3 linked regions of the Mus musculus genome follow. Each later gene encodes a partner of the first gene's protein in a complex. Links are inferred from orthologs where the notes say so. Each region holds a gene or a part of one and is shown on either strand. Other genes may lie near its edges.

Region 1 (3,500 bases):
GGGCAATCCCTCAGCCTCTCCGTTCTTCTCCGCTGCGTTTCTGACGGACATCCTGCTGAGCTCCATTTCTGCTGAGTCTGCTGTGGTGTGCTCCACAGCCTTCTGGCTCTCGCTTAGTTATGACTTCATCTTTTTGTTAAGGTCTCATTTTTGCATTCCATAAACACTACTGAATTTTATACCTTTAAAAAAAAAAAATGACCTTTCTCCTGACGTTTTGGTAGTTTTCAGAAGAACCAGAGGAAACGTGAGTAGCTTTCCTCGGAAACCGCTACCAAAGCGGCACCTGAGCATTATTGTTTCATCGACATTTTAGTTTATTTAGCAATTGGGTCTCACTCTGTGTGGCCCAGCTGGCCTAGAACTCACTATGTAACCTAAATGGTCTTGAACAAGATAATCCTTTGATCTCAGCTTAAGATCTCAGACATATTTATTTTCCAGAAAACAATTTATACTAATTCAGATTTAAGTTCTACTTACTGACTAAAAACTGCTCAAATTAAATTTATTTCTACAAGACACATGAGAATTTGATTATTTATTAAGTAGATAGTATTCAGATGGGCAATAGAATTGTGAAAGTGGTTAAACAGAAAAATACCTCTGTCATTAAGCGTTTTAGTCCTTCAACTTCATCTTCTCCTGGGTTAAGTTCCCCACCAGGTCTGTAAAAGTTAACAAGTTCACGTTACAATTGAATACAATTTGGGGATAACAGCAAGAACACAACTATCATCACTTCAATCGGGTAACTGAGAAGACACATTCCAGTGACATCTGATAAGCCATCAAAACAAGGGCCAAAGGTGGAGGCTGTGCTGGGAAGTTGAATCTATAATATTAAGTACCAGACCACTGTATACAATCCTAAGTTTAAACAGCAAAACTAGTGTATATATAATGAGCACAATCACTGGCCAACAATCCATGTCAGCCTCCTCAAAGGAAAGCTAGATTTAATGGAGTTTAGCAAACAAATACCCAGAGAACAGACTGCATTCTTAGATCTGAAGAATGGGGACATTTTCTTTTTTTTAAGAATTATTTATTTATTTTATGTATATGAGTACACTGTAGATGTACATATGGTTGTGAGCCATCTTGTGGTTGCTGGGAATTGAATCTCTGGTCCCCCATCAGATCTCATTACAGATGGTTGTGAGCCACCATGTGGTTGCTAGGAATTCAACTGAGGACCTTCAGAAGAGCAGTCAGTGCTCTTAACCACTGAGCCATCTCTGTAGTCCCGAATGGGACATTTTTCAAGACTATCAATTTAGTTTTGAGGCCTTTCTTTCTCTCTTTTTTTTGTTTGTTTGTTTGTTTGTTTGTTTGTTTGTTTGTTTTTCAAGACAGGGTTTCTCTGTGTAGCCCTGGCTGTCCTGGAACTCAGAAATCCGCCTGCCTCTGCCTCCCGAGTGCTGAGATTAAAGGCGTGCACCAGCACCACCCGGCAAGGCCTTTCTTTTTGGCACAATCTGACCAGTGGGCAAGTAAATATTTAGAGTCATAAGCTCAAGTGATTAAGCTACATGAAAACAACTGAATTCAGTAATAGTCCCATCACTTTGAGAAATCGAGTTTGGCCTAATGTAGCTCTATGGAAAGGAAATAAGCATTGTACTGGAGAAAAGTCTTTTCTTCAAAGACTCATTCATGGTACTGGTTTAAATAAATAAAGGTTAGACTTTTATTTTAAGCTGCATTAAAACAGTCATTTTTTACACGTTGTCCTGCTGTTATTTCTAACACTACTTACAATTTGAAGAAAGTTGTCCCCAGCTGCAGCAGGAGCACGTGGGGCAGGCGGTGTTCATGAACAATCAGAACCCCTTCTACAGTCCTTCTCATCCCAATCTTATCAAATTCCTCCCTCATGCGCTGAAATCTGGCTGCAACAGAGCTGTCCTTCTCATAGAGGGGCTCCTTTGTACCAAAAGTATAATTGGTAAGCGGGTACCTGTGAGCCAAATACAAACATTAGCATGAGAACCAATGCTCTTATTTACTTACCAGGACAGTTCAAAACAACACATACAGAAACCATACAAACACATACAAAACTACACTGTGCCAGACCAGTCAAAGCTTCGTAAGCAGCTATGAGAGAGCAGAGAGCAGGGTACTGCTGCTGCCTGATTCCTGAACCCAGCTCTTCCATTCCTCAGTCACAGACAACACTGCCCTAAGGTCCCTGAAATGCTTAGCCAAGTGTTTATCTATACTGGCTTTAGATCATTTCATGGCACTGATACCAGAAGTAGCAGCCTGGTTCCTCTGACTAATCTAGTTACAACTTCTATTAACCAACCTGTACTAACAGCTAATCTGTTTTCTCCTATGTGCTGAGCCACCACTGTCTATCAGCAGCTCTCTAGTTGCTTGCCTTTTAATATCTTTAAAAATGAGTGTTTGTACACATATATGTATGGTGTTCTACAATGTGTGTCTGTGCTCTCCTTTCACCATGTGGCTTCTGGGGAACTGAACTCACATCAACAGTCTTAGCAGCAAGCACCCCCATCCTTAGAGCCACCTCACTGGTGGTGCCAATTATTCTCTGTTCCTCCCAGTTAACAAATAGTCAAATTTTTCTAGTTCCTTTTTTGGATCAACTTTACTTCTTCAGTTTTTGGCTGCTTGTTTTTTCATAGAGCTGACCTGGAACTCACTTATTTATCAGGTTGGCCTTTAACACTGAGACCCACCTGCCTCTCCCTCCCAAATGCTGGGATTAAGGTCATGTAGTACCAGTGGCTTAGACCTGTTTTCTCTTTCCCTCTGAGCCTTGTGTAAGAGAACCCAAACTGTGACTTAAGGTGTCAGACTTCATCTTGCTTAGTAAAGATCAAATCCATATTTACACTGTACCACAGTCTACCTTGCAACCCCTTGAATATAGTTTTTTTCCCCAGTAAGAATATTTTGACTGAACATGGCTAATCCCAAAGTATTTCATCTACCAAAAACCCCTTGATATAGGCCTGGGAAGATAGTAAAGTACTTGTCAAGCAAACATGAGGACCTAAATTCAATCTCCAGCTCCCACGGTTGGAGAAGGTTTTGTGCACTGTCTTCTCAGATGCTGATTTCTATGCCCAGACACCTGGTTACAGTCCTGACAATGGCATGGCCAAGTACCTTCAGTCTCAATGTTATGTAAAAACTGGTTTCCATTACCTCTGATGCGTTAATAAAGAGCTGATCTGCCAATCAGCTGGGCAGAAGAGAATAGGGCAGGACTTCTGATCCCAGTATGTGGTCTCAAAAGGAGAGAGAGAAGGAAGAAGGTGGAGAGAGCAACCAGGGCCATGAGGACACACATGGACCAGACTAAGCTAGGGCGAGATTCAGACAAAAGACCATTTGGCTGGGTATTGGCAGCCTAGTTGAATTAGAATAGCTCAGAATCTGCATGGCATAGTGGCTGCGGCTTGTTAATAAGAACACCAAATCCTTTTATTCAGGATAAAGTGCACACTGAAATGTTTTGTCAC
Region 2 (3,500 bases), on another chromosome or scaffold:
CCAAGTGCTGGGATTACAGGCGTGCGCCACCACTGCCCGGCCTGTCACTTAGTTTTAAAGTAATAAAGGAAGATACATGTCAGTGTAGTGGGAAGACCACCAATTTTACATTACTAGATTTAGATTTCAGTGCTTATTGGGGGTGAAGAGGTGGCTCTGTGGTGAAGTGCACTAAATCCAGTATACTCCTCTTTGCTCAGTGGGTACCAGGCACACACATGGTGCACACACACACATGCAGGTAAAATAGCCACGTACATAAAGTTAAAATTAATTCCAACTGGGAATTAGAGAGGTAGCTTAAGAGTTACACTGGCTGCTCCTCCATAGGATCAAGGGCTGATTCCCAGCACCCATGTAGGTAGGGGTCACAAATTTGATAACTTCAGTTCCAGGGGATCTGACATCCTATCTGGCCTCAGTGGACACTACTTTTTCTTTGGATACAAAGACATATATGTAGGCAAAACACTTGGACACATGAAAAAGATATAAATATTAGCTATGGTATAGCTTATTCTTTGCAAAATAGTAACTGTCTCTCTACATGACAAAGCAATTAATTGCATTGCTTTGTTAAAATGAGAGTCTTTTCCAAATTCCAAAACACTGAACAAAAGTCATTGTCTCTGGTTATCTTAAAAGACAATTTTCAGGTCAGGTCGAGGTGACACATGCTATTAATCCCAGTACAGGATTCAAATTTCTGAGTATGAGACCAGACTGGTCTGTAGAGAGAGTTCTAGGACAGCTAGAACTATCTCAAAAGATAATTTGGAAACAAAAGTTTGTTTAATGATTAACCTTGTTTTTTTTTTCTCCTGCAGGTGATTATGGGAGTGCTATTGAAACATTGGTAACAGCAATTTCTTTAATTAAACAATCCAAAGTCTCTGCAGATGATCGTTGCAAAGTTCTTATTAGCTCTCTGCAGGATTGCCTTCATGGAATCGAGTCCAAGTCCTATGGGTCTGGATCCAGGTAAAATGTTCCTGTCTCATGAATTTTTAAAACTGTTAGTTAACACACAAACACACACACACACACACACACACACGCGCGCGCGCGCGCGCGCAACTTCTAAAAAAATAGAACTGTGATTTTATTTACTGTGTACCTAGCAGTATTTAAAAAAAAAAAAAAAAAAAAAAACTCTGAATGATATATTGAAATCCCGAGACGCAAGGAACTCTGTCTTCTCTTTACTCTTAAACATCTGTGTACATTCAAGCACACTGCGTGATGTCATCTCTCCTTTGATTCTCATAACTCCCATACTTACTTACTGTTCCCTAGCCAAATGAGCCCTTCTCCTGGACACATCAAGCATTTGGCCACTTTACTGAGTTTTATGCTTGATATTCCTTCTTGGAACCACTTTTCTTGTTGTTTTCTTCTCCCCCAACATTTACTTGCCTCTGTATTTCTTCATGTTTTAATATAATATAGTCTGCAGAGTCTATTTCTTTTGTAGTATTTGCTATAACTGTCTATTCATTATTGATGCCCATTTCTTAGTGAACACATGTTGAACAAGGTAGGGGCTTTAGTAGTTAAACACTGCTTTATATAAGAGACAGGGTGATTTTGAAAGAGGGAGTTATGAATGAGTGGTAATTTTGTAATAGGTGCAGTTTTACTTTAGATTTGTTTAATGTATGTATCAGTGGTTTGCGAGCAAACATGGATGTATTTCTCTGGTACCTAAGGAAGTCAGAAGAGAGCATTCATTGAGTCCCCTCAAACACTGGATTGTAAGCCATCATGTGGGCACCAGGACCCTGGTCCTCTGAACCACTGAGCTATCTTTTCAGACCCTGTAATAGATACTATGTTTTTGTTTGTGTGTTTTTAAGATGCGTTTATTTTATATATATGAGCACAAAGTTGCTCTCTTCAGACACCCAAAGAGGGCATGGGATTCCATTGCAGATGGTTGTGAGCCACCATGTGGTTGCTACGAATTGAAGTCAGGACCTCTGGAAGAGCAGTCAGTGCTCTTAACCACTGAGCCATCACTCTAGCCCCTAGATACTGTTTTTTAAGCGTTACTTTTAAAAGCATTTTTACCAATTGTGAAATTTTATATATTTTGTGAGGTAAATGGTTAATCTTTACATGATATTACTTCTTTTGAGACAGGGTCTCACTATGTAGATGAGGCTAGCCTTGAACTTACAGAGAGATCAGCCTGGTTATCCATTCTTACACAGCTACATTTTGACTATTTTGATTTCATATGTGGAGGTGTTTTGCCTGCATTTCTGGCTATAAATCACCCATGCTAGGTGCCCACAAAGGCTAGAAAAGTGCCTTGGGTTCCCCAGAACTAAAGTTAGAGGTAGGTATGAGCCACTATTTGGATGCTGAGAATTGAACATGAGTTCTTTGGAAGAGCAGCCAATATTTATAACCCTTGAGCCATCTCTCCAGTTTCCCAAATGATGGTCTTCTGTCTGCCCTTAGTATGCTTTTCCTGGAGGTAGTATCCTAAGTAAGAGTAAGGAGTTCACCCGGGACACAGGTTTTACTTTGTTAGTTCCGGTTTGGTTTAGTGTAAGTATCTCTGAACAAATTTGTTGTAACTAGAGATTATGTCATGCATTGTCTTCATTGTGGGAACATCTAGCTCGAGCAAGACGCTTAGCACTTAATGTTTAAGTTCAGTTGCCTGGTTTAGCAATTAACATGATAATAATTTTTTTTTTTTTCTCGAGACAGGGTTTCTCTGCATAACCCTGGAACTCACTTTGTAGACCAGGCTAGCCTTAAATTCAAAAATCCACCTGCCTCTGCTTCCCAAGTGCCTAGGATTAAAGGCGTGCGCCACCACTGCCGGCTTTTTTTTTTTTTTTAAATAAATTCTTATTTAAACGAATGGAATTATTATGAGGTTTGACTATGATTTTTGGGCTTTTAAGATGTGATGATAAAATTTGCATAAATTTATTTTTTTCTTCATTGTTTCGTGGGTTCTTATTGTAAACCTTAGCAATTTCAACATGACTTTTTTTTTTTTTTTCCATTTAAAGAAACAACAATGTCCACATTGTCAGCATCACTACTCTCCTACTTTGGTGCAATTATTAAATAATCCAAGAATTATTTAAGCATAAGCACTGAACTGCCATGATACTTAAGACTACTGAATACTTAATGGGCAAATAACATTTAGTGTGGGTGCAGTGGGCCGAGGGATGGCTCCCAATGCGGGCAGGAAGGAGCAAGGTGACTAAAGTATTTCATCATGATGGTTGGCTCAGTCTAGGTGGTCTGGGTCCTGGATACATGACTAGGGGCTGCAAGGGAATGAAGAAAGGGCAGACACACTTAGATACAGACAGAATCAGGGGTCTGCTACTCCTGCAACTTGGAACTTCGTGGATGGGTGCAGTCAGCTAGTCTAGATAGGAGGTCTCTCTAGAGTACCAGTTGCTGTTGGAAAAACCTCCCAGAGGAAGTCGCTTCTTTCGTTCTTTCTGCACACCGATCTTTTCTTC
Region 3 (3,500 bases), on another chromosome or scaffold:
TGAAGGAGGACGGTTAAAGTAGGGCAACACGCTGGGGGGCTTATCCACACGAGCAGATGAGGGTACAAGATTCTCAGAGGGGGTTGCCCGTCCATCAGCAGAATCACTAGAGTCTCGGGAGTGGGCCCGTGGAGGTATTCCTATAAAGCAAACAGAGCTAATGTTACTGCCCAGGCAAGCTCTGGATATAGCAATAGGACCAGCTCATCTCTCAGCAAGTCTGGTACCACATAAAAGAATACAGGTGAAGCAACTAAGAGAGAAGAAACTAATCATCTGGGGCCTTTCCATTGGTCTCAGAAGAAAGATCAGAAGTATTTTGGTTAAGACAACTCCAAAAAGTAAACAGAACTCTTAAGTCTTGTATGTCAATGGATGCTCTCATCTAGGATCCTCAGTGCTTACAACATATTTAACTCTTAAACTTGTTTCCTATTTTCAAATAAATACACATTCTTCACTTTATTCTTTTCAGTGAAGAAAAGTAACATGCACAAAGAAAGCTGAGAAGAGGTACACTACTCTCAATGTAGCTGTAAAGAGATGTATCTTGGGGAAACCAGGAGAGGGCTGAATACAAATACTATTAAACAGAAGGGATGGGAAAATGTTGAGTTGTCAAGGAAGCTAAGTGTGTGCCTTTTAGCCCAGGGCAATTATAGAACATACCTCATCCATCTAGGCTGTCAACACAAGGGCAGTTGTTTCCATTAAAGAGGTTCTATTTCCTCAGGAAGGACATACCCCATCAACACAAGGAACTACTGTTTTAGAGCTAGGTACAAAGTAGTGACAGCAGGTATGTGATGAAATACTTCTGCTACCACCCATTCTCTGGTAGTGAAAGAAAATGAGGCTGATTGTTTCAGGCAGGCCCTTGCAGGGTAGCTGTACCTTGTGAAGTCAGGATAAGCCAAAATTGGTCCTCAGGGTTAGAAATCTGATTTTAGTAATTCATCAGGGAATAAGCAGACCCTCAGAGACTGAATTATGCCATCCAACTCGATACACAAACCAAAATACTAATTTATTAGTTGATAATGACAAGTATTTACTGCCAAGCAAACTAGAATACCTGTCAGCTGATCAGTGCACCCTCTTCTCAGGAGGAGAGCCTTAGTAGGAGACTAAGGTAGTAAGAGATTGATGAACATACTGAGATTAAAGGGAGTCAGATGAACTGAAGGGAACAAGATATCAGAATGCCGCATTTTAAAGAAAAACTAATGTGACATACTTGCCAGGCCAACTAAGTATTCAATAACTAGAAGTATTTTCTTTTCTCTAGGACAACAATGGAGAAACAACACAACTTTTATTACCTAATACTTCTTATGGTTGATTTTTACAAAGTACACCAAATATATACTCATGATAGGATCACAGCTGCCTTTGTATACCTTAATTACACTTTAGGGTGTCTGCTTTTTGAGATCCACAACTTAAAAAGCAAGCCCATTCATGGTGTGTCCATTTATGGAAGAATACAGAATTGACCAGTGATAGGAACTTTAATCGTTTCTTAGTTCAGATGGGAAAGAGGTCCCAAGAAGTGAACTGAATTGTTCAAAAGGCCAAAAGGAAAAGAGTCAAGGGCAGAACGGACAACCTGAACCTGACTCCCAGCACTGTCCTCTTTACACACATCTCATTCTTAGGCCCACCCACTAATTGTGCCACCAAACCATAACCAACAGCAAGCACCCTTGCCCCAAATCCTCCACATCACAGCAGCAAGCCCACAACTTCCCCCCTTCATACAGATGGTCTCCACGTACCCCCTCTTGGGACTCGGACGCACTCACGTTTCCGAGCCTGAGCCTCAAACTGTGACAAGTTCTGCCGGGTGGCCGGCCTCACATCTACTTTTTCTCCATTAAGAACTTTTCCTGGTAAGAGTTCCAGCAGTTTGTGGACAGAATTTTCAGAGGCTACCACCACCTCAGCATATCTTAAGGAACAAAGTAAAAGAATAATAAAATATTTAGACCCTGGACAAAGAAAGGAAAAGGCATCTTGCTAAATTCTTTAAACATCCCTCCACCCCCACACCCCACTCCCTATCAGCAACAACAAGATGCCACCCTATAGATTTCCTGTTTTTTCCTTACTTTTTGGAATTTAAAATTAACATTCTTTCCCTTCAACAGATGGATGTTCAATTTCATTCCAGCTAGGTCCCAAATCTTTGGCAGTTTGTCAAAACCAAGGTAGTAAGCTAGGCCAGGGTGGAATGGGGTTAGAATGCAAGTTCAAACATAATAGATTTGTCACCCTAATAGTTACAAACTCAAAGGGGCTCCCCAGTTCTAGATCTCACCCTTTAGACTGGCCATTTGCACGATTCTCTGCAAATTTCAACTCCACCACATCATAGACTCCTATAGAGCGGATAACCTGGATCAGCTGCTGGTCTGTGGTCCACTGGGGCCGGCAAGATGGAAAAGGGAGAAATGTCAAGAGCTACATGCCTGTTACCCACCCACCCAGACATTCCAAGTCCTGTTCTCAAATCTAGGACTCCAGCCACAACCATGACCACCCACAGGAAACCCCAAAACCCAGCAATATTTCAATCAGTGCAGGCTTTTCTTATTGTCCTACACATTAAACACATCTAATCCCACAACCCCTATGTTTGGGGATTAAGACTAAAATTTATTTTAATTTTGACTGACATGTGAGCTGGTTGTTCATCATTTCAAACAGATTGCTAACAACTTTAATTACAGATCTGACAGGCTAGAGTTGACCATGCCAGGAATATTCCCATCAGCATATACATTTCCTGATTTGGCACCCTCCCCCCACCAGCCCCAAAACATCTCACACTGTTAACTTTTACAGAATTGTCAGCACATATCCCAAATACACTACAGCTATCAAGGTCTTTGATCCCCATCACCCACCATTATCACAGGACCATCTAATGACCACCAAGAGTTCAAGGTGTTCACTCTGATATCTCGTCCCATAGATGACCCTGCTAGACATAAAGCCCCAGGGTCAGGGGCAGTAATAAGATGGCAGAAAAGGCAACTACCCACTTAATCAATGCTTTCTTCGGCACCAGTACGTCCTCAGGATAGTTCTCTTTCAGAGATCAATCCAACCTGATCCCAGGAAAAAGAAATCCAACCCCATCAGAGCACAAAACAGTGCAACAGTGGTTTCTGAAAATGCCATCACCTCCCAGTGCTCTCCCTCCAGCCCACCCTTGAGATTTTTGGTTATCCTTGCTTACCCAGGAGAAGCTGCCTACATAGACAGCTGCTCGCCGACTCCGCAGGCCACTGTATGTATACAGAATTGCAGGGGTCTTGTTGTTTGGTTTGGGAGCTGGCTCCTGGCGAACAGGAGGGGGTGGTTCCGTGCTACTGCTTCTGTCATCTGAGGGCTGTGAGGCAGCCGTCAACACATCATCATATAGGTCAATCTGATCTGTATTGTTGAACTCCGAGTCCTAAAAGATGAGGGATTGATAATGGAGTCTTCAAACT

What was found. The genes of interacting proteins can lie anywhere in the genome.
Region 2: the proteins of Nudt21 (region 1) and Cpsf6 are in contact, whole or in part, in a crystal structure (PDB 3P5T), measured with the Homo sapiens proteins. The link is inferred for Mus musculus from reciprocal best matches to the Homo sapiens genes NUDT21 and CPSF6. Residues at the interface, in NP_008937.1 of Homo sapiens: Pro151, Asn152, Glu154, Pro156, Tyr158, Tyr160, Pro162, Ala163, His164, Ile165, Thr166, Lys167; in NP_008938.2 of Homo sapiens: Trp90, Trp91, Thr92, Thr93, Asp94, Glu95, Lys113, Phe114, Glu116, Asn117, Arg118, Ala119, Asn120, Gly121, Gln122, Ser123.
Region 3: the proteins of Nudt21 (region 1) and Cpsf7 are in contact, whole or in part, in a crystal structure (PDB 3N9U), measured with the Homo sapiens proteins. The link is inferred for Mus musculus from reciprocal best matches to the Homo sapiens genes NUDT21 and CPSF7. Residues at the interface, in NP_008937.1 of Homo sapiens: Arg68, Asn152, Glu154, Pro156, Tyr158, Tyr160, Pro162, Ala163, His164, Ile165, Thr166, Lys167; in NP_001129512.1 of Homo sapiens: Trp91, Trp92, Thr93, Thr94, Asp95, Gln96, Glu112, Lys114, Phe115, Glu117, Asn118, Arg119, Ala120, Asn121, Gly122, Gln123, Ser124.

Annotation. Positions count from the first base shown.
Region 1 is NC_000074.6:94,030,540-94,034,039, forward strand, and holds part of Nudt21 (cleavage and polyadenylation specificity factor subunit 5), read right to left. Parts: intron 1,964-3,500; coding exon 1,763-1,963; intron 669-1,762; coding exon 605-668; intron 1-604. UniProt on the Homo sapiens protein: Component of the cleavage factor Im (CFIm) complex that functions as an activator of the pre-mRNA 3'-end cleavage and polyadenylation processing required for the maturation of pre-mRNA into functional mRNAs.
Region 2 is NC_000076.6:117,356,474-117,359,973, reverse strand, and holds part of Cpsf6 (cleavage and polyadenylation specificity factor subunit 6), read left to right. Parts: intron 1-827; coding exon 828-981; intron 982-3,500. UniProt on the Homo sapiens protein: Component of the cleavage factor Im (CFIm) complex that functions as an activator of the pre-mRNA 3'-end cleavage and polyadenylation processing required for the maturation of pre-mRNA into functional mRNAs.
Region 3 is NC_000085.6:10,531,744-10,535,243, reverse strand, and holds part of Cpsf7 (cleavage and polyadenylation specificity factor subunit 7), read right to left. Parts: intron 3,464-3,500; coding exon 3,245-3,463; intron 3,114-3,244; exon of another isoform or gene 2,976-3,113; coding exon of another isoform or gene 2,910-2,975; intron 2,425-2,909; coding exon 2,321-2,424; intron 1,952-2,320; coding exon 1,779-1,951; intron 141-1,778; coding exon 1-140.